Macaca fascicularis: one gene and its partners. The protein of the gene in region 4 interacts with the protein of the main gene of each other region in a pairwise test. Links are inferred from orthologs where the notes say so. Each region holds a gene or a part of one and is shown on either strand. Other genes may lie near its edges. The genes, in order: PSMF1, POLL, ZGPAT, LDOC1, FAM107A, FAM50B and DPPA4.

Evidence for each region.
Region 1: the proteins of LDOC1 (region 4) and PSMF1 interact in binary tests that used the Homo sapiens proteins (3 or more experiments, as listed by UniProt). The two-hybrid records come from large-scale screens. The link is inferred for Macaca fascicularis from reciprocal best matches to the Homo sapiens genes LDOC1 and PSMF1.
Region 2: the proteins of LDOC1 (region 4) and POLL interact in a two-hybrid assay, tested with the Homo sapiens proteins (2 studies listed by BioGRID and IntAct). The two-hybrid records come from large-scale screens. The link is inferred for Macaca fascicularis from reciprocal best matches to the Homo sapiens genes LDOC1 and POLL.
Region 3: the proteins of LDOC1 (region 4) and ZGPAT interact in binary tests that used the Homo sapiens proteins (3 or more experiments, as listed by UniProt). The two-hybrid records come from large-scale screens. The link is inferred for Macaca fascicularis from reciprocal best matches to the Homo sapiens genes LDOC1 and ZGPAT.
Region 5: the proteins of LDOC1 (region 4) and FAM107A interact in a two-hybrid assay, tested with the Homo sapiens proteins (2 studies listed by BioGRID and IntAct). The two-hybrid records come from large-scale screens. The link is inferred for Macaca fascicularis from reciprocal best matches to the Homo sapiens genes LDOC1 and FAM107A.
Region 6: the proteins of LDOC1 (region 4) and FAM50B interact in binary tests that used the Homo sapiens proteins (3 or more experiments, as listed by UniProt). The two-hybrid records come from large-scale screens. The link is inferred for Macaca fascicularis from reciprocal best matches to the Homo sapiens genes LDOC1 and FAM50B.
Region 7: the proteins of LDOC1 (region 4) and DPPA4 interact in binary tests that used the Homo sapiens proteins (3 or more experiments, as listed by UniProt). The two-hybrid records come from large-scale screens. The link is inferred for Macaca fascicularis from reciprocal best matches to the Homo sapiens genes LDOC1 and DPPA4.

The regions. Positions count from the first base shown.
Region 1 is NC_088384.1:86,226,481-86,228,935, forward strand, and holds part of PSMF1 (proteasome inhibitor PI31 subunit), read right to left. Parts: intron 1,338-2,455; coding exon 1,179-1,337; intron 624-1,178; coding exon 572-623; 3' UTR 1-571. UniProt on the Homo sapiens protein: Plays an important role in control of proteasome function. Inhibits the hydrolysis of protein and peptide substrates by the 20S proteasome. Also inhibits the activation of the proteasome by the proteasome regulatory proteins PA700 and PA28.
Region 2 is NC_088383.1:110,560,526-110,564,536, forward strand, and holds the start of POLL (DNA polymerase lambda), read right to left. Parts: upstream 2,801-4,011; 5' UTR 2,747-2,800; exon of another isoform or gene 2,349-2,746; intron 1,963-2,348; exon of another isoform or gene 1,939-1,962; 5' UTR 1,917-1,938; coding exon 1,802-1,916; exon of another isoform or gene 1,775-1,801; coding exon of another isoform or gene 1,678-1,774; intron 702-1,677; coding exon 407-701; intron 24-406; coding exon 1-23. Other genes in the region: protein DPCD, read left to right, coding at 2,882-2,945.
Region 3 is NC_088384.1:119,823,809-119,827,973, forward strand, and holds the start of ZGPAT (zinc finger CCCH-type with G patch domain-containing protein), read left to right. Parts: upstream 1-1,365; 5' UTR 1,366-1,445; intron 1,446-1,874; 5' UTR 1,875-1,902; coding exon 1,903-2,483; intron 2,484-4,165. Other genes in the region: ARFRP1 (ADP-ribosylation factor-related protein 1), read right to left, coding at 23-110, 371-469, 1,126-1,179. UniProt on the Homo sapiens protein: Transcription repressor that specifically binds the 5'-GGAG[GA]A[GA]A-3' consensus sequence. Represses transcription by recruiting the chromatin multiprotein complex NuRD to target promoters.
Region 4 is NC_088395.1:147,494,884-147,499,175, forward strand, and holds the start of LDOC1 (protein LDOC1), read left to right. Parts: upstream 1-1,492; 5' UTR 1,493-1,601; coding exon 1,602-2,042; 3' UTR 2,043-4,292. UniProt on the Homo sapiens protein: May have an important role in the development and/or progression of some cancers.
Region 5 is NC_088376.1:121,733,594-121,737,660, reverse strand, and holds the start of FAM107A (actin-associated protein FAM107A), read left to right. Parts: upstream 1-1,267; 5' UTR 1,268-1,882; coding exon 1,883-1,906; intron 1,907-4,067. UniProt on the Homo sapiens protein: Stress-inducible actin-binding protein that plays a role in synaptic and cognitive functions by modulating actin filamentous (F-actin) dynamics. Mediates polymerization of globular actin to F-actin. Also binds to, stabilizes and bundles F-actin.
Region 6 is NC_088378.1:169,219,106-169,222,750, reverse strand, and holds FAM50B (protein FAM50B), read left to right. Parts: upstream 1-1,228; 5' UTR 1,229-1,329; intron 1,330-1,628; 5' UTR 1,629-1,651; coding exon 1,652-2,629; 3' UTR 2,630-3,145; downstream 3,146-3,645.
Region 7 is NC_088376.1:173,739,436-173,742,935, reverse strand, and holds part of DPPA4 (developmental pluripotency-associated protein 4), read right to left. Parts: intron 2,104-3,500; coding exon 1,815-2,103; intron 101-1,814; coding exon 1-100. UniProt on the Homo sapiens protein: May be involved in the maintenance of active epigenetic status of target genes. May inhibit differentiation of embryonic cells into a primitive ectoderm lineage.

The DNA of each region.
Region 1 (2,455 bases), on a different chromosome or scaffold from region 4:
GATCGGGACCCATCTTAGTGATGTCAGGAGCAATGGCAATTAATGAACGGAAGATGCCTGAGAAGCAAGAATGGGCCCTGGGCAGGAAAAAGAGTCATTCAGCCCTACAGAAACTCAAACTCTAAAGTCTCATAAATGGAAGGAGCTATGCATTAATGTAAAAAGAAAAGTGGGAAGCCGGCAACATGAATTCTGTATTGACATTTGGTTCTTAATAATAACATCCAAAATGCATTCTGTTCTTATAGCACTGCATCTGGTCGAGGATATATGTTGCTGAAGGTTGCCGGAGTCTCCCTTGGGAAGTGGGGAGGAGTTGGTGGTGAAAGGGGAGGAGCTGGTGGTGAAAGAGACACACTGATTTCTCTTTGGGAGCTATCCGCAGCTAGGTGGAGAGCTGCAGCAGGTGTCTTGGCTCTGATAAGGGGTGGGGAGGCTATCCCAGCCGGCCTGCAAACATGTGAGCAGAATCCCTTGCCCCCAGCCCGCAAGAACATGGTTGCTGATGGGGACAGCAGTGGCAGCTCCAGGAGAGTGGAGGGAAGCCTGGGATGTTACATTCTTGAGGCCTTCACAGGTACATGTCATCGTAGCCCGGCGGGGGGAGATGGTCTGGGTTAGGTCTGGAATGGAAAGAGGGGCTGATGAGTTGGAGTGATGGAGAGACCAGGGGGACATGGGCAGACGTGACCCTGCACTGAGGGAACCTGCCCTTCAAAATGATGTGGTGGTGTGAGGAATTTAAAAACATGCACTCAAGAGCCAGACAGCCTGGGTTTGAATCCTGACTCCCCCACTTGGTATAAGCTACCTAATCTTTCAGGGTCTCACTTTCTGTATCTATAAAATGTAGACACCACTATCTACCCAAGACTGCTGAAGAAAGGATCCAATGAGTTTCTGACACATACTTAACTTTCAAGAACTGTTAGTTCCTCCTCCTACTTTGAGTCCTCCCCAGAGGGGAGCTGGGGAAAGAGAGGCACTGAGGGATAGGGAGCTCCTAGAAGGCTCCAGGGAGACATCAGGCAGGGCCCTGGAGGAGGCTCCACTCTCCTGGCAGCAACAGGTGAAGGCAGCGGCAACTGTGTGCCTGGGGCTAGAAACCTTCGTTGCTGCCACACTGAGCCAAGCTGCCATCAGGTCCTACTTCTCAGCATACCTGAGTGACTACCTACCCAGGTGGGCTGGTCCCAATGGGTCCGAAGGGGTCAAAGCGAGCTCCTGGGGGCACAGCGCCTGGAGGAAGCCGGTTCGGGAGGCCTGAGGAAGGGTCAATAAGTGCTCTTGGGAAGCCAGATCTCAGGGGATCCACAATCATGCCACCTCTCCGATGCCTAAGGCAAGAAGAAAAGTTGGGTAAGCAGGTGTGGCAAGGACTGCCCTTGGAGAACAGGTGAGGGAGGTGAGAATGGACCAAGAATGGCTGGGTTGTCTAATGTGGATGGCCCAAGCAGACATGTGGATGGCTGCCTGAGAGCCAGCAAAAAGTGGGCAAGGGCAAGAACACAAAGCCTATACGAAGAGCATACTTCACAGCTGAGTACTTTTGGCTCTGCAGGGGTTGGTTCTTCTGCACAGTGCTTTTGGTTCTGTAGGGCTCCTCAAAATTGAGATCCCTGCCTTATCCTATACCCAAGAGGGCCAACTTGATCAAGACCAAGAGCCAGAACTTGCCAAGGTCAACTTCAATGCACTCACAAGGTTCTGCAGGGTGCTACTCTAGGTTTAAGGACTAATAATAGCATTGAGAAAATTCGTGATGTTGGTTTTTTTTGCTCTTTCCCTTAAGGGCCTCAGGGCAATTTCTGACTGCCTGTAGATTGCCTAAGTCTGGCTCCTGACAGCATCTGTCCCTCATGGAGTTCCATGGACCTGACCTCATGTGCTCAAACTAGGATGAATGAGCTGATGGTTCCCCAAATTTTGAGGTCACTGCTTAGTTATATCCCCACTGTCTAGGAATGAGATGCTGAAGTTGGGGTCACTTTGCGGCAGAGGTTAAGATCTAGTTGGAATCATTCAGGGAAGAGAGTGGAGAGCAGAGGCTATAGTAACTTTGTTGGATGCATGATAAGAACCGTCCAGAGTCTAATGGGGCTCAGAGGCTCCCTTTATCAAGTGGGGTAATCTCTGAATAGCCCTGAGCTGCCCTAAGGCCCACCATCTGCTCTTCACTATACAGTTGATAAACTAGGGTGGGCAGGGGGACCGGGAAATGGCAGAAGAGCTGCCTGCTGGGCTTGCTCACCTCCCTGCCAACACTCAGCGCTCTCCTGCACTGCTCTAGCTGAGGAGGGACAGCGCATGTGGCAGTGCTTTCTCAGCTGCTCAGCAACAACTCCCTCCTCCACCCCAAAGGAAGAGACTGACTGAAAACTCTAAAATTAGAAGATGAACTGGGGCTGAAAAGCCATAAAAGCAAGTTGTGTCGCTGCCACCTCCCCAGCAGTAC
Region 2 (4,011 bases), on a different chromosome or scaffold from region 4:
TGGGCTGTGACTGGTCCAAGTACCTGTGGGGATGGTGATGGGAGGTTAAGACACCAAAGGTCTCACCCTGTTTCTGTCCCCAGTCCTAATGTATTCTGAAATACTTGGTTTCCCAGTGTGTCCAATTAAGAAAATGAGTTTTTTGAGGTTTTTGGAGTTTCTCTTGAGATAGGGTCTTGCTCTATCACCCAGGCTGGAGTACAGTGGTATGATCAAGGCTCACTGCAGCCTCAGCCTCCCTGGCTCAATCAATCCTCCCACCTAACCCTCATATAGCTGGGACTACAGGCATATACCACCATGCCTGGCTAATTTTTAAATTAATGACAGTTATTTTTAATAATTCAAGAAGAGAGCTCAAGATGCTACTAGAAAACATTGGAAAAAAAGACTGGGATCAGCCCACCTACTGGGGATGAAGATGCTGAATCCAGCTACATCCACCAGCCTCCTCTCCTGAAGGCACAAGCTCAGCCAGGCTGACTTCACCAGCTGAGCACCCGGGGGCAGCCGGGGTAGTCTGAGAAGGCGGAGGGCTCGCTCATAGTCCATGCCTTCATCCACCACAATGTGAGTGACACCTGGGCCCTGGACAGGGCATAACTGGCCACCATGCTGAACAATCTGCTTCTCAAAGAGTTCTGCCCGGGCTCGTCCAATGCCAGTGCGCACAACATGGGCCCGAAGGGAGCTCAGCCACTCTGGGGAAGGAACATCCAGATGACTACTGTCATAACTTTTTAATTTTATCTGCCACCCCCTGGCCACAACTTCTAACATGATCTGAATACAACTTCTAACATGATCTGAATGACATGTTCACAGTCCCCTACCCTGAAAATAAGCATTTGTCTTCCATCCAGGCAGGTTTCCTTCTATATACAGCAAATTTTCTCACAGGCCAGTACTTGAAAGTAAGGGACAAGGATTTTTATACGTCCTGTTCCTTGGTGCAACCTAGAAGTGTCTGGCACATTGTAAGTAACCTGTAAATATCTGCTGAATGAATGCCTCCTCCCTTCTTACTTTGTTTTTGTTTTTGTTTTGTTTTTTTCGTTTGTTTGTTTGGAGACAGTCTCACTCTGTTGCCCAGGCTGGAGTACAGTGGCGTCATCTTGGCTCACTGCAACCTCCATCTCCCGGGCTCAAGCGATTCTCATGCCTCAGCCTCCCAAGTAGCTGGGATTACAGGCATGTGCCACCATGCCTGGCTAATTTTTTGTATTTTTGGTAGAGACGGGGTTTCGCCACATTGCCCAGGCTGGTCTCGAACTCCTGAGCACAGGTGATCTGCCTGCCTTGGCCTCCCAAAGTGCTGGGATTACAGGCATGAGCCACCGCGCCCAGCCTCTCTCCATACTTTGAATCCTTTATCATTTATTCTTTCAACAATGCACATTTCTTGCCCTTACACTCTGACAGACCCGACAACCCTGCCTCCAAAGCCTCTGCTATTTATTTATCAATTTGGCTGCAAAACAACTAACAACAATCCTGGGTAATGGAGGGGGGTTTCTGTCCCAGTCCCCCAGGGCAAAAATTATACTGGTCATTCCCTGAGGGTCCAGGGAGTCTTTTCCAATTGATAGGGGTGTTCAGGTAGAAAAGAAGATAACACAGCAAATGGCCTGTCCAAGACCCAGGACCAAGCTTAGTACAAGGCAGATACAAACAGACCTGCAGTCCATGGACAGGCAGAGTCAGCTCCAATATCTGATTCTGGACATGAACAACATAGGGCTGAAGCACATGAAGGCTGAGGGTTCAAGCGCATGAGGGTTCTGAGAGTGGGTCATCTCACCTTCTGCTTCTTCTCCCTCTTCCTTCCTGGGAATCTTTGCAAGTACTTTTGATGATGCATCAGCATGAATTTTCTTCCGTTTGGGAAACGCCTTCAAGATACCCCTGGGATCCATTGAAGTACGGCTGCATCCCAGCCTGTTGGAGGGTTGGTCAGGGCTGCTGTCAGGTGGAAATACAGAATTAAGGATCTCCAACCCCTTTGCCTATGGAGGTAGGGGGTAGCAGCCCAGTTTGGGGAAGCGGGAGGTTGGGGGGGATCTCTTCAAACCCCGTTAAACTAGCTTTTTAGCCTAGCTTCACACTCCCCAGTCTTTCAAAGTTGGAGTATTAGGGGAAATGAGGGGAAGGCTGGAGCCATCGGGGGTACTTTTAAGGAGTAGGAAACTATACCCATTCCTCAAAGGGGTTGCTCTAAAGATTCAGCACAGCCCTCCTGCTGCGGCCCACTTCGAAGGGCTTTACCAAAATGGGATGCTGGGCTAGGAAATGGAGCTTTAGGGGATGGAGCGGAGACTGGGGAGGACCTGCACATAAACTCCACATACTCTTTTTCTCCAACACAGACTTGCAGAGGAAAACCTGAGGAGGCGGACTTTCGCGGGTGAGTGGGAACGCCCTGCACCTGCCCTGGTCTCAGCCTCTCGACATGGGGATGCTCAGCGCCGCAGCTGCGGGGAGATGGGGCACGGCCGCAGCAGGTGTGGGGAGCCCTCCGGGAATGGAGGAGTCTCGCAGCTGGGGGTGAAGACCCGGGCAGGTGTGGTGTACTCGCCCTGTACGCAGCTGGCGCAGGCCAGGGAATCCCAGCTCGGGGCTAGTAGAGAGTTGGAGTGCCCAACCCCGGCGCCAAGAGTCTCTCTCCAACCGCCAGAGTCAGTCCCTGGGTGCGGTCGACAACAGGCCAAGTTGGTCACCCGAGGGTGGGCAGGAGTAGGCCACTTACCAGGAGAGCCAATGAGAACGGACGAAGGGGGGAAGGAGGGCAAATGCCCAGAATAGCTTCCGAGTCAGCCGGAAGTGACCTTCAGTGGAACGGTTGCCATGGCAGCGGCCGGGCGGGCTGCTTAGCAGAGGAAAGATGGCGGTGACGGGCTGGTTGGAGAGTCTGCGGACAGCCCAGAAGACTGCACTGCTGCAGGACGGTAACTCGAGGGTCCCCGCGAGCTCCTTCGTTTTTTTCCCCCAGGGTCCGGCCCTCCGGGAAGGGCCTCAGGGCCTGGGTCGGCAGAGCTGGAAGGGTCTCGGTGGTCAGCCGGGCCAGGTCCTGCATTTGCGGATGAGGAGACTGAGGCTCACAGAGATGACATGACCAGAACACATGTCTCCGGACACCCCTTAAATTTCTCTACACCATCTCGCCCCGCTCTGAGTTCTGTTGCTAATATAGTAATTTCTTTTACATTCGTTATCTCATTTGCTCCTCACCACTGTCCTGAGAGGCTAATTTTCCACCCCGTTTTACAGAAGAGGAAACTGAAATCCAAGAATGTTTTAGACTTTAGAGAGGAGAGAGGCCTGGGCTCTAGTTCCGACTGTGCCATTAATTCACCACGGGCTCTCCAGTTGGCACCTTTACTTGTTTGGGCCTCACTTTCCTCATCTGTAAAATTAAGTGGATGGACTACCGTTGTTATCTCTGAGGTCCTTTCCAGCTGTAATATTTTTGTTAAGTGAACCTCTAAATGTTTTCTGTGTCTTAAGGGGAGCTAGAGCAAGGACCAAGGGCTGTGCATGGAAGAAGTGGGCACAGGGGCATGGATATCTAACTTTTCCTCACCCTAGGATTGGCCGATGTCAGCCCCCTGTGCACTTGGGTCCTTTCTGGACCCACTGGGTAACCAGGATGAATTGTGTCTGAAGTTCCTGAGACTTTCAAGATAATAGCTGGTGATTCACATTCACAGGCAGAGGCCAATCAGGGAAGCCTGGAGTTTGTGGAAATTAAAATCATTTACTCGTTCGTGCAACATTTAGGGAGGCTTTTACTATGTGCCAAGCTCTAAACTAGAACAGAAAGAAAAAGATATGTTGTCACAGGACTTGGACTGGTTGGGAAAAACATGTATTTAAGTAATAAGATGTGTTAAATAGAGGTTGTAGTCTTGTATAAAATGGTAGGAAAGAGTGAAGGTGTAAGCGACATGTCTTTGGAAGAAGACCCAACAGAAGTGATGATGTTTCTGGGTCCTGAAGAATTAATAAGGCCAG
Region 3 (4,165 bases), on a different chromosome or scaffold from region 4:
CCTTACTGTTTAGACCTCTTACTGTTTAGACCCACGGTGGTGGTGATTTTGGATAGACTCATTCCCTTGTAGTTCTTGTTAAACCGGGTTTTTGACTGTTCCAGGAAGGTCTGAGGAGAGAGGGAGAGGCAGACACATCAAGTAGGGGCTACACTGGCTTCCCAAATATCCTTCCTCAGGCCTGTTCCTTAAGAGAGAAAAACAGAAACAAAGCAACACTCTGCTCTTCAGGAAGCTGGTGGTGACAATCCTGTCGTCTCAGGTGAAATGTGGATTCCATCTGGGTAGTGAACATGCAGCTGACAGCACAAAACCGAAGCGGGGGCCACCCGGCCGTGGGAAAGGTGCGGGCAAGGGAGTGGGCACTCACCGTCTTCCCAGCATTGTCCAGGCCCAGGATCAGGATGCAGTACTCGTCCTTCTGAAACATGTACTTGTACAAGCCCGACAGCAGCGTGTACATCCTGCCCTGGGCGCCCCAACATGTGTCAGTGTGCAGCCGGAACGCAGCTCCCCGCCCCCGGGCTTCTCCACGGTGGTCAGGGGCGCCCCACGTCCAGCTGGCCGCTCAGGACCAGAGCCTGGGGGCCATTCCCGACTCTCCCTCCTCCACCGCACCCCTGCAACTCCTCCCAGGCCGGCCGCCACTCCGTCCTTCCGCTCACAGCAATGACTGCGACCTTTCCGAACCCGCAGCGGCTCCGGTCCCTCCCCTGCTCGCGGGACCACCCAGCCGGGTGTTCGCGGTGAGCTCCGCTGCGCTCCCGCCCTCCCCCGAGGTTTCGCTCCCACGCTTCACGCGCGCGGAACGGGGAACACACTCGCGGCAGCCCCGCCTGGGCCCCCGCGCCCCACCCGGGAGCAGCGAGCCGCCGGCGCGCTCCCCAGGAGCTCCCCAGGGACGCCCCATCAACCCATTTCTTAAAACGGGGACGGCCAGCGGGAAGCGGACTACAGGGCGGGTGCGCAGCGGCCCGGCTGCTCCCGGAGGCGGCGCGCGGCGGGCAGGGAACGACTCCCGCGGAGAAAGAACCCGCGTCGGGGACCCCGGCTACGGCCGCCCCATGCCGCGGCCGCCAGGTTGGAGGCTCGCCGACAAGCAGCCAAAGCTGGTTCCTGTCACACCTGCGTCCCACCTCCAGCTCTGGGCCGCCCCTCGGGCCTCGCGCCCCACCGCATAGCCTGCGGCCTACCTGCGACCGCCGCGACCTCGGAGCCGCCGCTGCTGACCCCCGCTGACCTCCGCTGACCCCGCGCTAACCCCGCGCGGCGCCTGACGGGACGAGAGCCGGCCTCAGGGAAGGAGCTGAAACGCGTCCCGGCGGCCTCCGCGCTCCGCTTCCCGGCTGCCCCCGCGCGCCAGGCACTTCCGGAAGTGGCGGCGCTCGGGAGGAAGTGCTGGTCGGCGGCGGGGACGAAAGGGGGGTGCCGGGCCGCTCTAGCCGGTGAGGCCGGCGGGCTCTCTATGGCGGCGGCTGGGAAACCGCGCGGGGGAGGTTCCCTGCCCGGGGAGAGGGGACCCCGGTTTGCGGGGACGCGGCCTTGGCCAGACTGCAGAGACGCCGGGCGCGGGGGCGGGGCCGGCCTGGAAGGCAGCGGGCGCGGCGGGTGGGCTCGGCGGAGGGCCGGGCGGCGGGGCGCCCCGCGGGGAGGGGGTCTCCGGAGTGACGCGGGACCCGGCTAGCGGCGAGCCCAGGGCGGCTCGGAAGGGAAGCGCGGAGCCTGAGCGGGGGTACCCGGTCTGCGACCTCTGCGCTGGGAGCTGTGCCTCTGAGCCGGTGTCTCCCCGAGGGACAGGGGACGTGCCCGTGCCCTCCCGCAGTCTGTGGGGCCGGTCCCGAGACGCGAGGCTCACCTGGCTTCTCTTCTCGCAGCCCTGGTCCAGCGCCTCCCTCTCTCAGCATGGACGAGGAGAGCCTGGAGTCGGCCTTGCAGACCTACCGTGCGCAGCTGCAGCAGGTGGAGCTGGCCCTGGGCGCCGGCCTGGATTCGTCTGAGCAGGCGGACCTGCGCCAGCTGCAGGGGGACCTGAAGGAGCTCATCGAGCTCACCGAGGCCAGCCTGGTGTCTGTCAGGAAGAGCAAGTTGCTGGCCGCGCTGGACGAAGAGCGCACGGGCCGGGAAGATGCTGAGTACCAGGCTTTCCGGGAGGCCATCACTGAGGCGGTGGAGGCGCCAGCAGCAGCCCCTGAGTCCGGATCAGAGACCGTTCCTAAAGCAGAGGCGGGGCCCGAATCTGCAGCAGGTGGGCAGGAGGAGGAAGAGGGAGAGGACGAGGAAGAGCTGAGTGGGACAAAGGTGAGCGCACCCTACTACAGCTCATGGGGCACTCTGGAGTATCACAACGCCATGGTGGTGGGAGCGGAAGAGGCTGAGGATGGTTCGGCGGGTGTCCGTGTGCTCTACCTGTACCCCACTCACAAGTCTCTGAAGCCGTGCCCGTTCTTCCTGGAGGGAAAGTGCCGCTTCAAGGAGAACTGCAGGTAAAACCCTTTGTTATCAGGATGCCAACCTTGGGGCGTAAGGGGCACGCACACAGGGTCGGGTCAGGGTGGCCCTCCCTTTGCTTTGCAGTTTTGTCTCAGCTTCTTGGGGCAGGCATGCTTTGTGACAGCAGTGTCTGTGTTCAGGCGTCTGCGTCTTTGTTCCGGGGTAAATCAAGAAGCATAGAAGGTGGCCGGGTGCGGTGGCCCACGCCTGTAATCCCAGCACTTTGGGAAGTCAAGGCGGGCAGATCACCTGAGGTCAGGAGTTCAGGACCACGCTGGTCAACATGGTGAAACCCTATCTCTGTTAAAAACACAAAATTCAACTGGTCGTGGTGGCGCGCACCTGTGGTCCTAGCTACTCAGGAGGCTGAGGCAGGAGAATTGGTTGAACCCAGGAGGCCAAGGTTGCAGTGAGCGGAAATGGAGCCACTGTACTCCAGCCTGAGCAACAGTGCAAGGCTTATGTGGAAGAGAATAGGTCTCCAACCTATCGTCATTGTTTTTTTGTTTGGTTGTTGTTTTAATTTTTTTTGAGACAGGGTCTTACTTTGTCAACCAGGCTGGAGTGCAGTGGCGCAGTCCTGGCTTACTGCAGCCTGGACCTCCTGGGCTCAACTGATCTCCTGCCTTAGCGCCCCTAGTAATTGGGGTACAGACTCACACTACCACATCCAGCTAATTTTTGTATTATTATTACTTGTTTATTTATTTATTTTTTGAGATGGAGTCTTGCTCTGTCGCCCAGGCTGGAGTGCAGTGGCGCAATCTCGGCTCACTGCAAGCTCTGCCTCCCGGGTTCAAACAATTCTCCTGCCTCAGCCTCCCTAGTAGCTGGGATTACAGGCACCTGCCACCATACCTGGCTAATTTTTTTGTACTTTTTAGTAGAGACGGGGTTTCACCGTGTTAGCCTGGATGGTCTCAATCTCCTGACCTTGTGATCCGCCCACCTCAGCCTCCCAAAGTGCTGGGATTACAGGCGTGAGACACAGTGCCTGCTTTTTTTTTTTTTTTTTTTGGAGATAGAGTTTCACTCTTGTTGCCCAGGCTGGAGTGCAGTGGCATAGTCTCAGCTTACTGCAACCTCCTTCTCCTGGGTTGAAGTAATTCTCTGCCTCAGTGTCCAGAGTAGCTGGAATTACAGGTGCCCACCACCACGCCCGGCTAATTTTTTGTATTTTTAGTAGAGACAGAGATTCACCATCTTGGCCAGGCTGATCTTGAACTCCTGACCTCGTGATCTACCCGCCTCAGTCTCCCAAAATGCTGGGATTACAGACGTGAGCCATCACGCCTGGCTAATTTTTGTAGTTTTAGTAGAGGTAGGGTTTTGTCATGTTGTCCAGGCTGGTTTCACGCTCCTGAGCTCAAGTGATCCACCTGCCCTGGCCTCCCAAAGTGCTGAGATCACAGGCATGAGCCACTGCGCCCGGCCCTGTTGTTAGTTTTATTCTCTAGAGTTCAACTTGAAAACTTTACTTTTTTTTTTTTTTTTTTTTGAGACAGAGTCTCGCTCTGTCACCCAGGCTGGAGTGCAATGGCTTGATCTCAGCTCACTGCAAGCTCCGCCTCCCGGGTTCACGCCATTCTCCTGCCTCAGCCTCCCGAGTAGCTGGGACTACAGGCGCCCGCCACCTCGCCCAGCTAATTTTTTTTATATTTTTAGTAGAGACGGG
Region 4 (4,292 bases):
TGGGAAGAGGCACAGGATAGAAGGAGGGGCCTTGTAGGCCTTGGCTGCAACTTTGCTCTTTATTCTGAGGTGAAACTACTGGAGGATTTTGAGCAGGGGCGTGAAGGGATCTAACTGTTTTTGTTTGTTTGTTTGTTTGTTTTTGTTTTTTTTTTTTAGAGATGGAGTCTCGCTTGGTAACCAAGGCTGGAGGAGTGCGCTGGCGCTATCTCGGCTCACTGCCACCTCCGCCTCCCGGGTTCAAGCGATTCTCCTGCCTTAGCCTCCTGAGTAGCTGGAACTACAGGCACCTGCCACCACTCCCCGCTAATATTTTGTATTTTTAGTAGAGACAGGGTTTCACCCTGTTAGCCAGGATGATCTCGATCTCCTGACTCGTGATCCGCCCTCCTTGGCCACCCAAAGTGCTAGGATTACAGGCGTGAGCCACCGCGCCCGGCCCTAATTTTTGTTTTAAAGGATTCCTGTGGCTACTCTATGGAGAATATACTATAGGAAGAAAAGAGTGAAAGCTAAGTGATTAGTTGCAGCAGTCTGGGTGAGAAAGGCTGGGGATCAGGGTGGCAGTGGTAGAAATGACAAGTCATGACTGAATTGGCAATATATTTGAAAGCAGAGCCAACAATTCCTGTCGGCTCTAGGATCAGGGATCCGTTTAAAGTAGAAAAACAAAATTATTTAAAAACACAAACATCTTAACAGTTCATTTTTAAGTACAGAATAAAACCCAGTGGCCAAAGGCACTAACAGCAGGACAAGAAATAGAGAATCAAAGATATGTGGGATGCCTGCAATTGATTATTGGATGCTCATTTTGCAAAACTTCTTTATATCCTGCTACTTAGGTTTGTTTTTTTTTGTTTGTTTGTTTTAAGGGAGTATGCCGTATTATTCCCCTACTAAAGAAGTCACTGTTTAAATACTGCCTTTTTCATGAAAGGCAGGAACCCCTGAAGGTCTTCATGATCCTAAAAGGAAGTGTGAGTCCCACAGTGCAGCCAGCAGTGTCAATACTTCTCTGAGTGAGATTTAAACAAGAAAGAAAATGTGTTAATAAAACATCACGCCAAGAGAATCTAGTGGCCACAGACCCACGAAGGAACAACTGAGTTGTGAGAGTTGCCTAGGTAGAAGGGTGGCTAATCCTTTCAGTTTGAACAAATTTGCCTTCTCTGAGACCAAACTCAGCGCTCGCCAGGTCCTCTGCTAACGCAGGCCCCACAACCAGGAGCTAGGGGAGCCTACCCCAGCCTTTAACTGCCCGCCTAGAGACCTACCACAAGCCGGTGGTTCAGCGACCCAGTGCATCCTTTTCCTGGCCACGCCCTCTTTGTCTAAACCCTTCCCATCCCGGCCACGCCCCCACGCAGCCGCGGCCCCCAGTCTGGCCACGCCCCTCCCGCGCCGCGCCGGCGCACCATCCGTCCGAATGGCCTCGTGGGCGGAGCTTGCGTAGCCTCCCGGACCCCGGCGCGCACCGCCCCCCGCCCCCAGCCCCTGGCCATCGAGCGTCTCCGTGGACACGCACTTCCTGCGAGGCCTCCGTGCGCACCTTGGCCGAGCCGAACCGAGCCGAGCCCTGTCCTTCCAGGCTGTTCGCAATGGTGGATGAGCTGGTGCTGCTGCTGCACGCGCTCCTGATGCGGCACCGCGCCCTGACCATCGAGAACAGCCAGCTCATGGAACAGCTGCGGCTGCTGGTGTGCGAGAGGGCCAGCCTGCTGCGCCAGGTACGTCCGCCGAGCTGCCCGGTGCCCTTCCCCGAAACGTTTAATGGCGAGAGCTCCCGGCTCCCCGAGTTTATCGTGCAGACAGCGTCTTACATGCTCGTGAACGAGAACCGATTCTGCAACGACGCCATGAAGGTGGCATTCCTAATCAGTCTCCTCACCGGGGAAGCCGAGGAGTGGGTGGTGCCCTACATCGAGATGGATAGCCCCATCCTAGGTGATTACCGAGCCTTCCTCGATGAGATGAAACAGTGCTTTGGCTGGGATGACGACGAAGACGACGACGACGAGGACGAAGAGGATAATTACTAGGCCCTCGGGCCTCGGGGGGAGGGCCCTGCACGCCGTCACCCCCTCCCCGCAGCCCTCACCCCGCCAGGAGCCACTGCTCTCCCCCTTGCCCTCCGGTCCCCTTCCCTACCCGCGCCCGTCTGCTCTTTCTTCATTTCTCCGTAGTGCTTGTCTTTGTTCCAGGAATAGTGCTCCAGTTACCTGCTGCTGGGGTTGGGGCTGGAGCCTCACTCACTCGGAAGTGCTTGGAAGTGTCATCTACCCTGGCCATCCCGGGGATCCCTCCCCTGCTAATCTGAACTGTGTCCTGAACCCCAGCTATTGGCCAGGCCCCTGTTACAAACTGCGCAGACCACCCATAGCCCTGCTGCTGCCACCTGCCCTGCTGCCAGGCTTACATCTGCCCAGAGAACTATGCTGCCACTTCACATCCACTCACCACATCCCACCTACAGACTACCGCCTTTCGAGATCAGGACCAACCTGGAAAATGCCAGAGTTGGCTCTGCCTCTTCGGACATTGATTTGGACAGCTCACCAACCCCTGAAGAGGCCAATCATTCAGCCTGGTTAGTTTTCTACCTACTCCGAGTGTCCTCCCCTGCCATACCAGATTGCTGCAGGGGCGCGGTGTGCCTGACAGCCAAATTGTTGATATTTCTTTTTTCCTATGCACTGGTTTTACACAGCTGTCATTTTTCTTTCAAAATTGCAGCAGTCCCACAGATGTATGCATTTGGACAAATAGTACTAAAAACAAAACAAACAAGCACTCAGCCCAGCTCCTCAATACTACCTGGAAAAAGCATTGGCATTATTTTCAATAAATATCAAGCACTAAAAAACGAAATGACTGTCTTTTAATAGTTAAGTGCTATCACTGACCTCTAGAACTGTCACTGTGACTACCGTTATTCCCATGGAAATCAGGGAATACAACCAATCCTAGGAATCCCTGCTGTCAACTCCAGGCTGCTGGGGACAGCTACCTCAGGGCTTTGTCAGGGTTCTGATGCTTCCTTCACCAACGCATTTCTTAAAGCCCTGGCAAAGGGTGTGTTCTCTGGGTCCTCCAGGGTGGCATGGGTAAGGGTTGGCTGAGCAGATGGCAAAGAGGGCAGTATTAATAATTAGACCATAACAACAGGCATAAACCAGGACATATATATGTATTGCTCCTAATTCTCTGAGCTTTTGGATTCCTTAATATTGTGCCAGGGAAGTTCTGCCCCTTAATCCTTATTGCCTATATGCAGCTGTTGAGTTCAGGCTCCAGAGAGCCAACATAGTACATTGTCACTTTCAAACTCCAAATAGCCAACATGTCACTTACAGGTGCTCTAGCTAACATTAAGTCCCAGATCCTGGGCAAGTGCATCCATAAAGATATACCCTGATCTTAACAAACATTTCATCCTCCTTGGGCAGACATCCTTAGAATTTCCACTCATAGATGTGTCCCAGATTCCTCCCTATGGAAATTAGCAAGATGCTTGGTTATCTCTTAAATCAGACTTTGTACTGCTATCTGGGGGCTATGCTGAGATCTCTGGGCCTGGAGGGTTCAGAGCAGTGAAGGGGGTGGCTGCTGAGAAGAAACTGCATACCTGTGTGAGGCCATTGCCCCAGGTTAAGTCATTGAAATGTTTAATGCAGAGCAGCTTGGTTGGGGATTTGACAGGACTACCTCTTAGAAAGGTTTAGGAGGATGTGAGGGGTTCAGAGTTCTCATTTATATCTGTCCAGATGTCCTCCCTCATTGTACCATGTCTGGAGCCAACTTCACTTTATAACCTTTAATTAATTTAGATAACACATTTCCTTACTGTTTAAGGCCTTTTGAGGCAAGATATTTCATTTGTACTGGTAAACCTCAGTGTTGATTAAATGAGATATGGGGCTTCATATTAATCACCTGATAGGTGTGGATTATATGAGATCATACCCATGCAGCATTTAGAACTTTCCCTGCTACATGGTGAGCACTCAGTAAACCATGGGCTGTTACTCCTGGGCCTGGGGACAGAATTCTCAGGAAGCAAGTCTCTGGCTCTGAGCGTGGCTTTAGTAGGAAAATGTCAGCGTAAAGAGGAGCAGAGCAGGTTCAGCGATAATGGAAATGAGAGCATGATAAGACCCCATTTACTTTTTGAAGTCTTATATGAAGCAAGAAACAAAGCTGTTTACGTGGTGAACAGGCAAAGTTCAGGGTAGGAATTATATCTCACACCTAGGATAGCTGTTTCTGGAGGGTGGGGACAGGGGTGAGTA
Region 5 (4,067 bases), on a different chromosome or scaffold from region 4:
AGCAGTGCCATGCAGTGAGCACTTTCGATGAGCCAGGACTGCCTTAAGCACTCGACCTACTTAGACTATTTCATTTAATCCTCCATCATGGATTCTTCTACTAATATTGCTCTAGACTCGGGGTAAACTGAGGAGCAGGACAGACCAGGCCCTGGCCTTTGTGGAACTGCCCTTCCAGGCAGAGGAGACAGACAATAAACACAGAAGTCCTATCATTTCAGTTGCTGATGAGTGCTACGACAAAGTAATAAACAGAGAGCCTGGGACCTGCTTTGCAGAAGGCATCGGAGAAAGCTGCTCTGAGGAGCCTGAAGGACAAAAAGGATGGAATCATGCAACGCTCAACATATGGGGAATGGAGGGGAAGTGGGGGAGGGAACATCCCACTCAGAAAGAATAGCAAGTGCAAAGGCCCTGAGACGGGGGGAGAGGTGCTGTGACCCAGAAACTGCCAGGGAGAGGGAGGAGAGGGAAACGGGGTCCTAGCAAGACCGTTGATCAGAACTTGTGGACCATGGGGGATCTCGCTCTGTTGGCAAGGCTGGATCTAGAATGCCTAATTCTTGACTCTCCACCAGCTGCCATTCTGTGAGTCATCTGTGTATGTGCTGCAGGCACCTACTGTGTGCCAGGCACCGTGCTAGAGGAAAGGAAAGGGTGGCAAGTTCTCCCCAACCCACCCGCCTCTTGGGAATGGGTGTTGTGCTTAGTGAACTGGTTATTCGGGACTTTCCAGTGGGCAGTGGACTTATCATTTGTGTTCTTAGCAGCGTGATAGCAGCAGTGCCTAACTTCTCTGAGGAACTGTTGTTTGCCAGATGCTCTGTGCATCCCCACAGCCCCATGCAGTGGGGGCAACTGTTACCCCACCTTTGGTGAAGTGACAGATAAGACGGAGCGACACGCTCTGATTTATGCTTTCACAAAACGATGGCTTGAGCTGTACACACACACCTTACCCCATATAGCTCTGTGCAGTGTGCTTCACACACACACACACACACACACACACACGCACGACATCGTGCCTCCAAGGCCACACAACTCTCGGGGACAGAGCTACAGTTCAAGCCCAAGGTCTCTTCAGCCTTAACCTCGGCCACAAGCTGGCATCACGGAGAAGGAAGAGGCTGGCAAATGAGGAGGAGGGTGACTGCCGGGGGCACTTTGAGAACTTGGCCCCAGGCCTGAAATCCGGCCTCCAGATATTTTCTTGGCCTGAGCCCAGACCAGCCACCCTCCAGCCCTCCCAGGCAGCCTGCTGCCCAGTTGAATGAAGGAGTCCGCTCTCAGAGTTTCTGCCGTGGGAGAGCCCCGGACCTCAAGCGTCTTCAAAGGTCTATTATTAATGGGGCCATCCAGCTGAAGCTGACATCCCCAGCAGCCCTCCCAGAGCTCTGCACCTCAGCCAGCCCATGGCCTCCACTCTCTGGCCCTGTCTGCTGAGCGGTGCCCAGCAAGACGAGAAGGCCAAGTCCTGCCCGCTGGGCCAGCCAGAGGTCACCTGCCGCGCCTGAGCTACCGGTGTGCGGTGAGAGGACTGCTCTGCGTCTTCCCTCGGCTCCCAGCTGCCTCAGTTTCCCTTCCTGAGAAAGGCGGGGTTCTGGGAGGTGAGGAGCTGCAGGGACCCACGAAGGGCATGGAAGCCGCCTGGGGACACTGGCCCGTCTGTCAGGATCAATCGCCCTAAGCCTGTCTGAGGCGCTCCAGGCTTAGGAGCAGCTGTGAAAGCCGCCTTTGTGCCTGGGAGAATGAGCCGCAAGAGGACAGGGGGCCCTGGCCCCGGGAGCCCCTTGGGTCCTGGCTCCTGAGATCAACGCCATCAGGGAAGACCCCAGCCTGGCCCCTGCAGCCCACCCAGGCCTGGTGCCCACTTCGTGCCATGGGAGCAGCCCAGGGGAAGAAGGTAGGAACCCCCAAGTGTCCTGTTGGGGCCCTGGACATGGGAAGGGAGACTAGACCTAGCAAGTGGGAGCCCCAACCCACCTACCCTGAAGCTTCATTTGGCACTGCCCACCAGCCCTCCTCCTGGAACTCACAGCCAAGACTTGCATCTAGAAGGCAGGCTGGGGCTCAGGGAAAAACCAGTGCCCTATCTCTCCATCTCTAGGACAGACTTGGGGACAGCCAAATCTCTCTGGCTCCCTGGTCTTAACCACACACATCTCTACTTCCCTGAGTAAAAGCTCCCTGGGTACCCCTTCCCCATACCTCAGGAGACTGTCTGACACAGGTGGATACAGGGGAAAGATCTTAAAATTGTTATTATTATTATTATTATAAAGTTGACTAACCAGCTGTTACCAGTTGTAGGGCAATGGGCAAGTTATTTAAGCTTTCTGTACCTTATTTCCTCACCTGTAAAATAGGGCCACTAATAATCACTACCTTGGAAAATCATTGTGAAAATTAAGTGAGTGAAAGTGTTTAGAACACTGCCTGGCACTGTGTAGAGGCTTTGCTCCGTTATTATTAGAATTCTGTTCATGTTATTATCTCTCGCCTTCTAAGCCTGAGCTCTCAGCTAGAGGTTTGTAGACAGCACTGCCTTAGCAGTGTTTCTGGAAATGTGCTCTGTGGACCCCTGCATCAGCGTTGTGGTGTGGGGAATAGGAGGGAGCTTGTGAAACAGTCACTTTCTCAGGGCCAGTCAGACCTCCTGGGTCAGCCTCTTAGGGGCAAAGAGGGGAGGGGCCTGCACTTACTAGCTCTCAGGATTGTCCTACATGCTCACTGCTCTCCGCCCACAGCGACTCAGCACTGCCGTCCCAGTGGCATAGCCAGGCTGCCGGGTCCCAGCTCCACCACCCACCTACTGAGGCGATGACCTGAACCCCTCTGGACCTCAGCTTCTTGTTTGTAAAAGGGGGCTGGTACCTGCTTCGTGGGAGGTTCAACAAGATGATGCCTTTGAAGTGCTTTGTGTGCTACCCCACCCCCAGAGGCTCCCCAATAAACAGGGGACTCTGATCCTCAGGCAACCAGTGATGACCTGTTCCATCAAGGTTGAGAAACTCAAGGAAGAAGTAATTTCTTAGCCAGGGTCATGCAGCTAGTGGGGGAAAGAGCAGGGTGCTGTTGTTGTTGCTGTTGTTAATTTGGAAAGAGGAGCTTTATTTCTCATAAAGAGTTGCAGCCTGCAGGGTGGCCATTCTGACAGGCTGGGAAGCATGGCCTCTGGCCAGAATCCAGAAACTGACACTTTGAGGAAGAGGCAAAGGGAATAGAAATTTATGCTGAGCAGCATGGCCAAATATACATATTCAATAAGCTGTGGGAGGAGTCATGCATATTTATGAAAGGAGAAACATCTGCATGCACAGTTGAGCTCCATGCCTCTTATGGGCCCGAGATACAAAAAAATGTTGGCCTTAGTGTGATCAGAGGGTGGAGTTTTCAGCCCTCTGATGTCAAAGGTGAAGCAGGGGGCACAAAAACCCTCACTGTGCATCCTCTGCAGACTGGTTAGAACCGCTCCATGATCCGCGGTCTCTTATCAAGAAAAAATGCTGGTTGGTTTTTGTGTTAAAACCACAAAAGGGAGGCGCAGTTGGTTGAAATCAGTATGGAGTCTTTTGAAAAGGCCGGTTTCTGTTTAGCTCTTAGGGAAGAAAGTCTAATGGAGGTTATCAAGGGATGGGGCACTACGGGGCGCGTGCAACCTCCCATCCCGTCATGGCCAGAAACTTGGTTTTCAAGATTTCTCTGGGGTCTCCTTGGCCAAGAGGGGGTCCGTTCAGTCACTTGCCGGGTAGGGGGGTGTTTAAAGTTTTATTTTTATTTCTTATTTTTATTGGGTAGGATTTTGACCCCGTTCTGCTTGATTCCAAACAACCCAGCCCATCCCACCCTTCCTGGTCCATAGCTCTGTCCACGGCATCTTCCTCAGCCCCACCCCAACCTCCCACAGAAGGCTGTTGGTCAGGCACCTGCTGCCCTGTGCCAGGGCCTGTGTGGAGCTGGAGCCAAGGGTGAGGAGACACAGCCCCTGCCCTTGAGGCCATCCCTGTCAGTTGTGGAGACTGATAGGCAGGTAAAAAATAGTTGGGAGTGTGTGTGACAGTTGA
Region 6 (3,645 bases), on a different chromosome or scaffold from region 4:
CAAATCTTCAATCTGTAAAAACAAAAACAAAACACACAGTATCCCAGAGCTCAATAAAATAAGATATTCTTGTATTCTGGTGATGAGGCAACAATGAGAAGGCTTCAGATTTTTAAAAAATGCTAATTTCCTACATTAAGGCAAGTGGTGGGGAATGGGAGAAAAAGGAAAATGTGAAAGGCTCTTCTGTAATCGATTTCATGTGAAGGAACGTCATTCCAGGAAAAGGCCTAGGTTTCTGGCTTGGACAATTTGATGAGTGCTCACACCCGCTATTCTCCTCTGGATACGTGGGTGCCATACGTAACTATCATATGATTCACGCTTCTTGGTAAGGTTATGCTCACAGGCATTGTTGCTGTTAGACGGGAGTAGGCTGAACTGCAGTGTGTATTTCACAACCAGCTTTTCCAAACTAGGTCCCAGGAAGCACTGGTTTCAGCGAGTATTCCCAGATCTCCTGCAGGGGAGAAACGATCACACAACATGAATTGGTCTGCCCTGCCCTTGGAGAGTTGCAGTGGAAACTGGCATGTTAAAGGCTCACAGTAAAGACACTGCTATACTTTAACTCAGTTTCCCATGGTTATTAGAGCTTAGAACCCGGGGGGATACTGCTGTATAGAAGAGGTCTAACAAGCTGAGTGCAGGTTTTGTCATGAAATTGGGGGGTGAGTAGGGTTCCATTATCAAAGAACGGTTGTTATGTTAGGGCCATAAGAAAGAATTACAAGCAGTGGTGTGCAGGTAACGTTCATGAGACGGCCACAGTGGGGTAGCATCAGAGGCGGGAGGAGACGCGGGAGGAGGAGAGTTGGAGAGCAGGGGCTGCAGCCTTGCGAGGCGGTTGCAAGCCTCTCTGGGTGACCACAGCAGCTTGCGCTGTGCCCACATTGCTTCTGCGTGTTTACAACTGGGCACGAGAAGGCTCAGCAAGCACGCACCGCAGGTGCGGGCCCTCCCTGCCCACAGCATGAAAACAGGAGCTCCGGCCAGCATTGGCTGGGCAGGGCCAGAGGCGCCTCCTCCAGGCTCCTCCCCGCGCTGGCCCGCCCCACAGGAGCACCGCCCCCGCCAGGAGCCCGGCGCTCTCCCGAGGGCCCGCCTCTCCGCCAGGGGGCGAGCCGCCTCCACTTCCTGTTTCCGCAGCCGCCCTACCAGGAGCCTGGCGCTCTCCTCAGGGCCCGCCTCCCCGCCAGGGGGCGCACCGCTTCCACTTCCTGTGTCCGTGGCTGTCGCGAGAGCCCGGGACGGGTGGGCCTTTGCTCGTGGGTGGTTCTCGTGGAGGTCAACTCCCGCGTGTCTCCGCTCGGCAGGGTGCTTGGGCAGGTAAGGGTTCGCTCAGTAGCCCAACCCTCTCTGTATGCAGCTCCCCAAATTCAGCGCAGCGCTCAGGCATGGCAGCCACCAGTTACGTGGGGCCATTTGCATTTGCATTTATTGAGGTCAAAGAAAAGGCTGGAAATTGGTGCGTGGTGACACCGTCACGTTGGTGACCCTAGCAGGTCGGCCCAGCCCCTAAACGCTTCCATCACTGCCGAAAGCCCTGTGAGGAGGCGCAGAGCTTTGCATTTCCCGCAGTTGCACGGGCCCCTCTCTACTTGCCCCGTTTTTCCTCTTTGCTGCAGAGCCCAGCGGGTAGGCGGGGGCCATGGCGCAGTACAAGGGCACCATGCGCGAGGCGGGCCGTGCCATGCACCTCCTCAAGAAGCGCGAGAAGCAGCGGGAGCAGATGGAGGTGCTGAAGCAGCGCATCGCCGAGGAGACCATCCTCAAGTCGCAGGTGGACAAGAAGTTCTCGGCGCACTACGATGCCGTGGAGGCCGAGCTGAAGTCCAGCACGGTGGGCCTGGTGACCCTGAACGACATGAAGGCCCGGCAGGAGGCCCTGATCAGGGAGCGCGAGCGGCAGCTGGCCAAGCGCCAGCAGCTGGAGGAGCAGCGGCTGCAGCAGGAGCGGCTGCGGGAGCAGGAGCACCGGCGCGAGCGCAAGCGTAAGATCTCCTGCCTGTCCTTCGCGCTCGACGACCTCGATGACCAGGCGGACGCGGCCGAGGCCAGGCGCGCCGGAAACCTGGGCAAGAACCCCGACGTGGACACCAGCTTCCTGCCCGACCGCGACCGCGAGGAGGAGGAGAACCGGCTCCGGGAGGAGCTGCGCCAAGAGTGGGAGGCGCAGCGCGAGAAAGTGAAGGACGAGGAGATGGAGGTCACCTTCAGCTACTGGGACGGCTCGGGCCACCGGCGCACCGTGCGTGTGCGCAAGGGCAACACGGTGCAGCAGTTCCTGAAGAAGGCGCTGCAGGGGCTGCGCAAGGACTTCCTGGAGCTGCGCTCCGCGGGCGTGGAGCAGCTCATGTTCATCAAGGAGGACCTCATCCTGCCGCACTACCACACCTTCTATGACTTCATCATCGCCAAGGCAAGGGGCAAGAGCGGGCCGCTCTTCAACTTCGATGTGCACGACGACGTGCGCCTGCTCAGCGACGCCACCATGGAGAAGGACGAGTCGCACGCGGGCAAGGTGGTGCTGCGGAGCTGGTACGAGAAGAACAAGCACATCTTCCCCGCCAGCCGCTGGGAGGCCTACGACCCCGAGAAGAAGTGGGACAAGTACACCATCCGCTGACACCCGCCCGCCAGAGCAGAAACCGGGGGAGACACTCCTTTCTATGCCCCGCCACCAGTCACTTGATTTCCTGACCTTGATTTCTTCCCCCAAATTTAATAAAGCCAGAGGGTTCTCATGATTCATATTGGTTGTCCTATTGCTGATGTTATGCTTTGGTTGTTTGGTTGGTCTTTTCTGAGTATTTTAGTGTCCCTACCTGGATTTGCTGCATTGCTCTGCTGAGCTGTATTGAAACCATGTCTGGGCCCACTGTGAGACAGAAATTAGAAGAGGAGGCACATTTTTTACCTCATGGTTATGAGCATGGTCTTGGGGGCCACAGTGACTGAGTTTGATTCCCGACGCAGCTTCCTCCTTGCTGTGTAGTTTTGGGTAAGCTTATTAAACCCCCATGCCTCACTTTGGTCAGCTGTAAAAGGAAATAACAAGAGCACTTACTTTAAAAGATGGATGTGAGGTTTGAGTTAATATTTGTAAAACACGTAGCACTTAATAAATGTTTTTTGTTATTATTATGGTTTTGGTTAATTTATTTAAAAGACTTCAGTGACCTAGTTCAGAACCATTTGAGGGCAAAGGTGGACCTGCCCATTACCGGTCCCAGGATCAGCAGTTGCCAGCAGGAGGGGGCTTGCAAAGGTTGGGGAGCAACCCCCCCTCTAGTTGCCTTTAGCTGGGTTGTTTAGCCCAGAAGTTAGGAGGACAGAGCTAATGCAAGTAGCCTGCAGGGTGAGTATCATTGATTTTCCTTTTGCTCCAATATGACTCCAAAGGGCACAGTTGCAGATCCTGTCTTTATTGAAAACGTTTGTATTTTATTCATTGTGAATTATTTATGTTAATTTTGATTTTTAAAAATATTGTATTCAGGCCGGGTGTGGTGGCTCACGCCTGTAATCCTAGCATTTTGAGAGGCCAAGGTTTGTGGATCACCTGAGGTCAAGAGTTCGGGACCAGCCTGACCAACATGGTAAAACCCCGTCTCTACTAAAAATAAAAAAACTGTGCCTGTA
Region 7 (3,500 bases), on a different chromosome or scaffold from region 4:
TTTTCTGGAACCCAGGCTTGACCAGCATGAAACTGCAGGTGAACCCAACCATCTGTGTCTGCAGGGAGACTTTTCCCATGGACCACACACCACCTGACACCTGGCGAAGGAGAGAGACAGGCACCCACACACCAGGATGACATACCGAAGTAAGGCTGCATTATGGCCCATCACCCTTGATTGACCAACTCCAAGATGTGAACCCTGAAATCCTAACTTAACCTCTTCTCTATTCTGTTCTCCTTTAGAAAAGCATACAAGACAGTTCCTGTTAAAACTTAAAAATCTAGGCGGGGCACGGTGGCTCATGCCTGTAATCCCAGCACTTTGGGAGGCCAAGGCGGGCGGATCATGAGGTCAGGATATCGAGACCATCCTGGCTAACACTGTGAAACCCCGTCTCTACTAAAAATACAAATTAGCCGGGCGTGGCGGCGGGCGCCTGTAGTCCCAGCTACTTGGGAGAATGAGGCAGGAGAATGGCGTGAACCTGGGAGGCGGAGCTCGCAGTGAGCCATGATCACACCACTGTACTACAGCCTGGGCGACAGAGCAAGACTCCGTCTCAAATAAACAAACAAACAAACAAATAAATAAATCTAGTTGGAAGTAGTATAGTTGTAGGTGGGCAGATGGTAGAAAGACTAACCCAGAGTGTCTGGAAAGGGCTTCATGAAACAAGCTCAGGGGCCCCAGCTCTGAACACACATTGGATTGTGCTAAACAGTTTATTGTCTTCTTTTGTTGTATTTTCTGTAATTCTTACAACATATAAGCTAGGTGTCGCCCATTTTACAATGAAAACACTGGGAAATATTTTAAATAACTTATTAATGCCATTCTGGGGCTCAGCTGCAGGCAATTAATTTTAGATCTTACTTTTAAATTGCTTAGGCCGGGTGCGGTGGCTCACGCCTGTAATCCCAGCACTTTGGGAGGCCGAGGCGGGCGGATCACAAGGTCAGGAGATCGAGACCATCCTGGCTAACACTGTGAAACCCCGTCTCTACTAAAAATGCAAAAAATTAGCCGGGCGAGGCGGCGGGCGCCTGTAGTCCCAACTACTCGGGAGGCTGAGGCAGGAGAATGGCGTGAACCCGGGAGGCGGAGCTTGCAGTGAGCCGAGATCGCGCCACTGCACTCCAGCCTGGGCGACTAAGCGAGACTCTGTCTCAAAAAAAAAAAAATAAAATAAAATAAAATTGCTTAAAGGGGAAAGAAAGAAAACCAAACTGCTATCCTCTTCTGATGCCATCAATCATTTAAAGCAGTGGTTCTCAAACTGTGGTCCCCAGACCAGCATCCTTACTGCTGCCCGGAAAACTGAGAAATGCAAACTCTCGCTGGGTGCAGTGGCTCACACCTGTAATCCCAGCATTCTGGGAGGCCGAGGCAGGCGGATCATCTGAGGTCAGGAGTTTGAGACCAGCCTGACCAACATGGAGAAAACCCGTCTCTATTAAAAATACAAAATTAGCCGGGCATGGTTGCGCCTGCCTGTAATCCCAGCTACTCAGGAAGGCTGAAGCAGGCGAATTGCTGGAACCCGGGAGGTTGAGGTTGTGGTGAGCCAAGATCGCACCACTGCACTCTAGCCTGGGCAACAAGAACGAAACTCTGTCTCAAAAAAAAAAAGAAAGAAATGCAAATGCTCAGGTCCTGTCCTAGACCTGAATTAGAAACTCTGTGGGCAGGGTCCAGGAATCGCCGGCCCTCAAAGGCATTTTGATATACCCTAAAAATATATCAGGCATTAATCTCTACTAAGCTTATTTCCCCACTGGACCAGAATAAGCTCTTCGTGTTGGGCTTACCACAGGCCTCTTGTGGAGATTCCACTGCCTCTGGCGTCCTCGCCCTGGCCGAAATTCTCGCCCAGGAGGCCAGCAAAGCCTCTGGGGCAGAAGTTGTCACCACAACTGTATTAACTCCCTCAAGGAGAGCAGTGGAATCTTCCAGGGCAGGCGGCCCCTCCGCAGGGGGAAGGGCCACTTCAGGAGGATGTGTCTCAGAACTTTGCAGGGACGTTTCCCCTTTTTCCACCTTTAATTTTTTTTTCAATGATTTCCGGATTTTGGCCTCTTTTGCTGTGCTAGGAAAATCCTACAGAAAGGGTTAGATAATAAAGATAAAAATAAAGATTAAAATTCTAACAAAAATAAATGGCCTCAGAGTTAAGAAGTTCTTGATCAAATGCAAAGTTTCACTTAGACAGGAGGTCTAGGTTCAAGAGATCCACTGTACAACTTGGTTAATTACAATGTACTGTCTTCTTGAAAATTGCACAGTTGGCTGCACATGGCTCAGGTCTGTAATCCCAGCACTTTGGGAGGCCAAGGTTGGTGAAACACTTGAGGTCAGGAGTTCAAGAACAGCCCTGGCCAACGTGGTGAAACCGCATCTCTACTAAAAATACAAAAATTATCCAGGCGTGGTGGTTCATGCCTGCAATCCCAGCTACTCAGGGGGCTGAGACTGGGGTATCACTTGAACCAGGGAGGCGGAAGTTGCAGTGAGCCTGCACTCCAGCCTAGGTGACAGAGGGAGACTCTGTCTTTAAAAAAAAAAGAAAGAAAGAAAATTGCTGGCCGGGCACAGTGGCTCACGCCTGTAATCCCAGCACTTTGGGAGACCGAGGTGAGCGGATCACGAGGTCAGGAGTTCTAGACCAGCCTGGCCAACATGGTGAAACCCTGTCTCTACTAAAAATACAAACATCAGCCAGGCGTGGTGGCAGGTGCTGTAATCCCAGCTACTCTGGAGGCTGAGGCAGGAGAATCACTTGAACCCAGGAGGTGGAGGTTGCAGTGAGCTGAGATTGCGCACTGCACTCCAGCCTGAGCAACAAGAGCGAAACTTTGTCTTAAAAAAAAAAAAAAGAAAGAAAGAAAACCTGGGCACGGTGGGGCTCACGCCTGTAATCCCAGCACTTTGGGAGGCTGAGGTGGGCAGATCACCTGAGGTCGGGAGTTTGAGACCAGCCCGACCAACATGGAGAAATGCCGTCTCTATTAAAAATCCAAATTAGCCAGGTGTGGTGGCGCATACCTGTAATCTCAGCTACTCGGGAGGCTAAGGCGGGAGAATCATCTGAATCCGGGAGGCAGCGGATGCATGGAGCGAAATTCTGTCTCAATAATTATAATAATAATAATAATAATAATATAGTATGTAAAGTGATGTATGTATTAATTAGCTTGAGTTAGCCATTCCACAATGTATACGTATTTCAAAGCCATGTGCTGTACATGATAAAAATATACAATTTTTGTCAATTAAAAAAATTTAAGTGCTGCCTCTTTTTATTTTTGAGACAGCGTTTCACTCTTGTGCCCAGGCTGGAGTGCAATGGTGCATCTCAGCTCACGGCAACCTCTGCCTCCTGGTTTCAAGCAATTCTACTGCCTCAGCCTCCTGAATAGCTGGGATTACACACATGCACCACCACACCTGGCTAATTTTTGTATTTTTAGTAGAGACAGGATTTCACCATGTTGGCC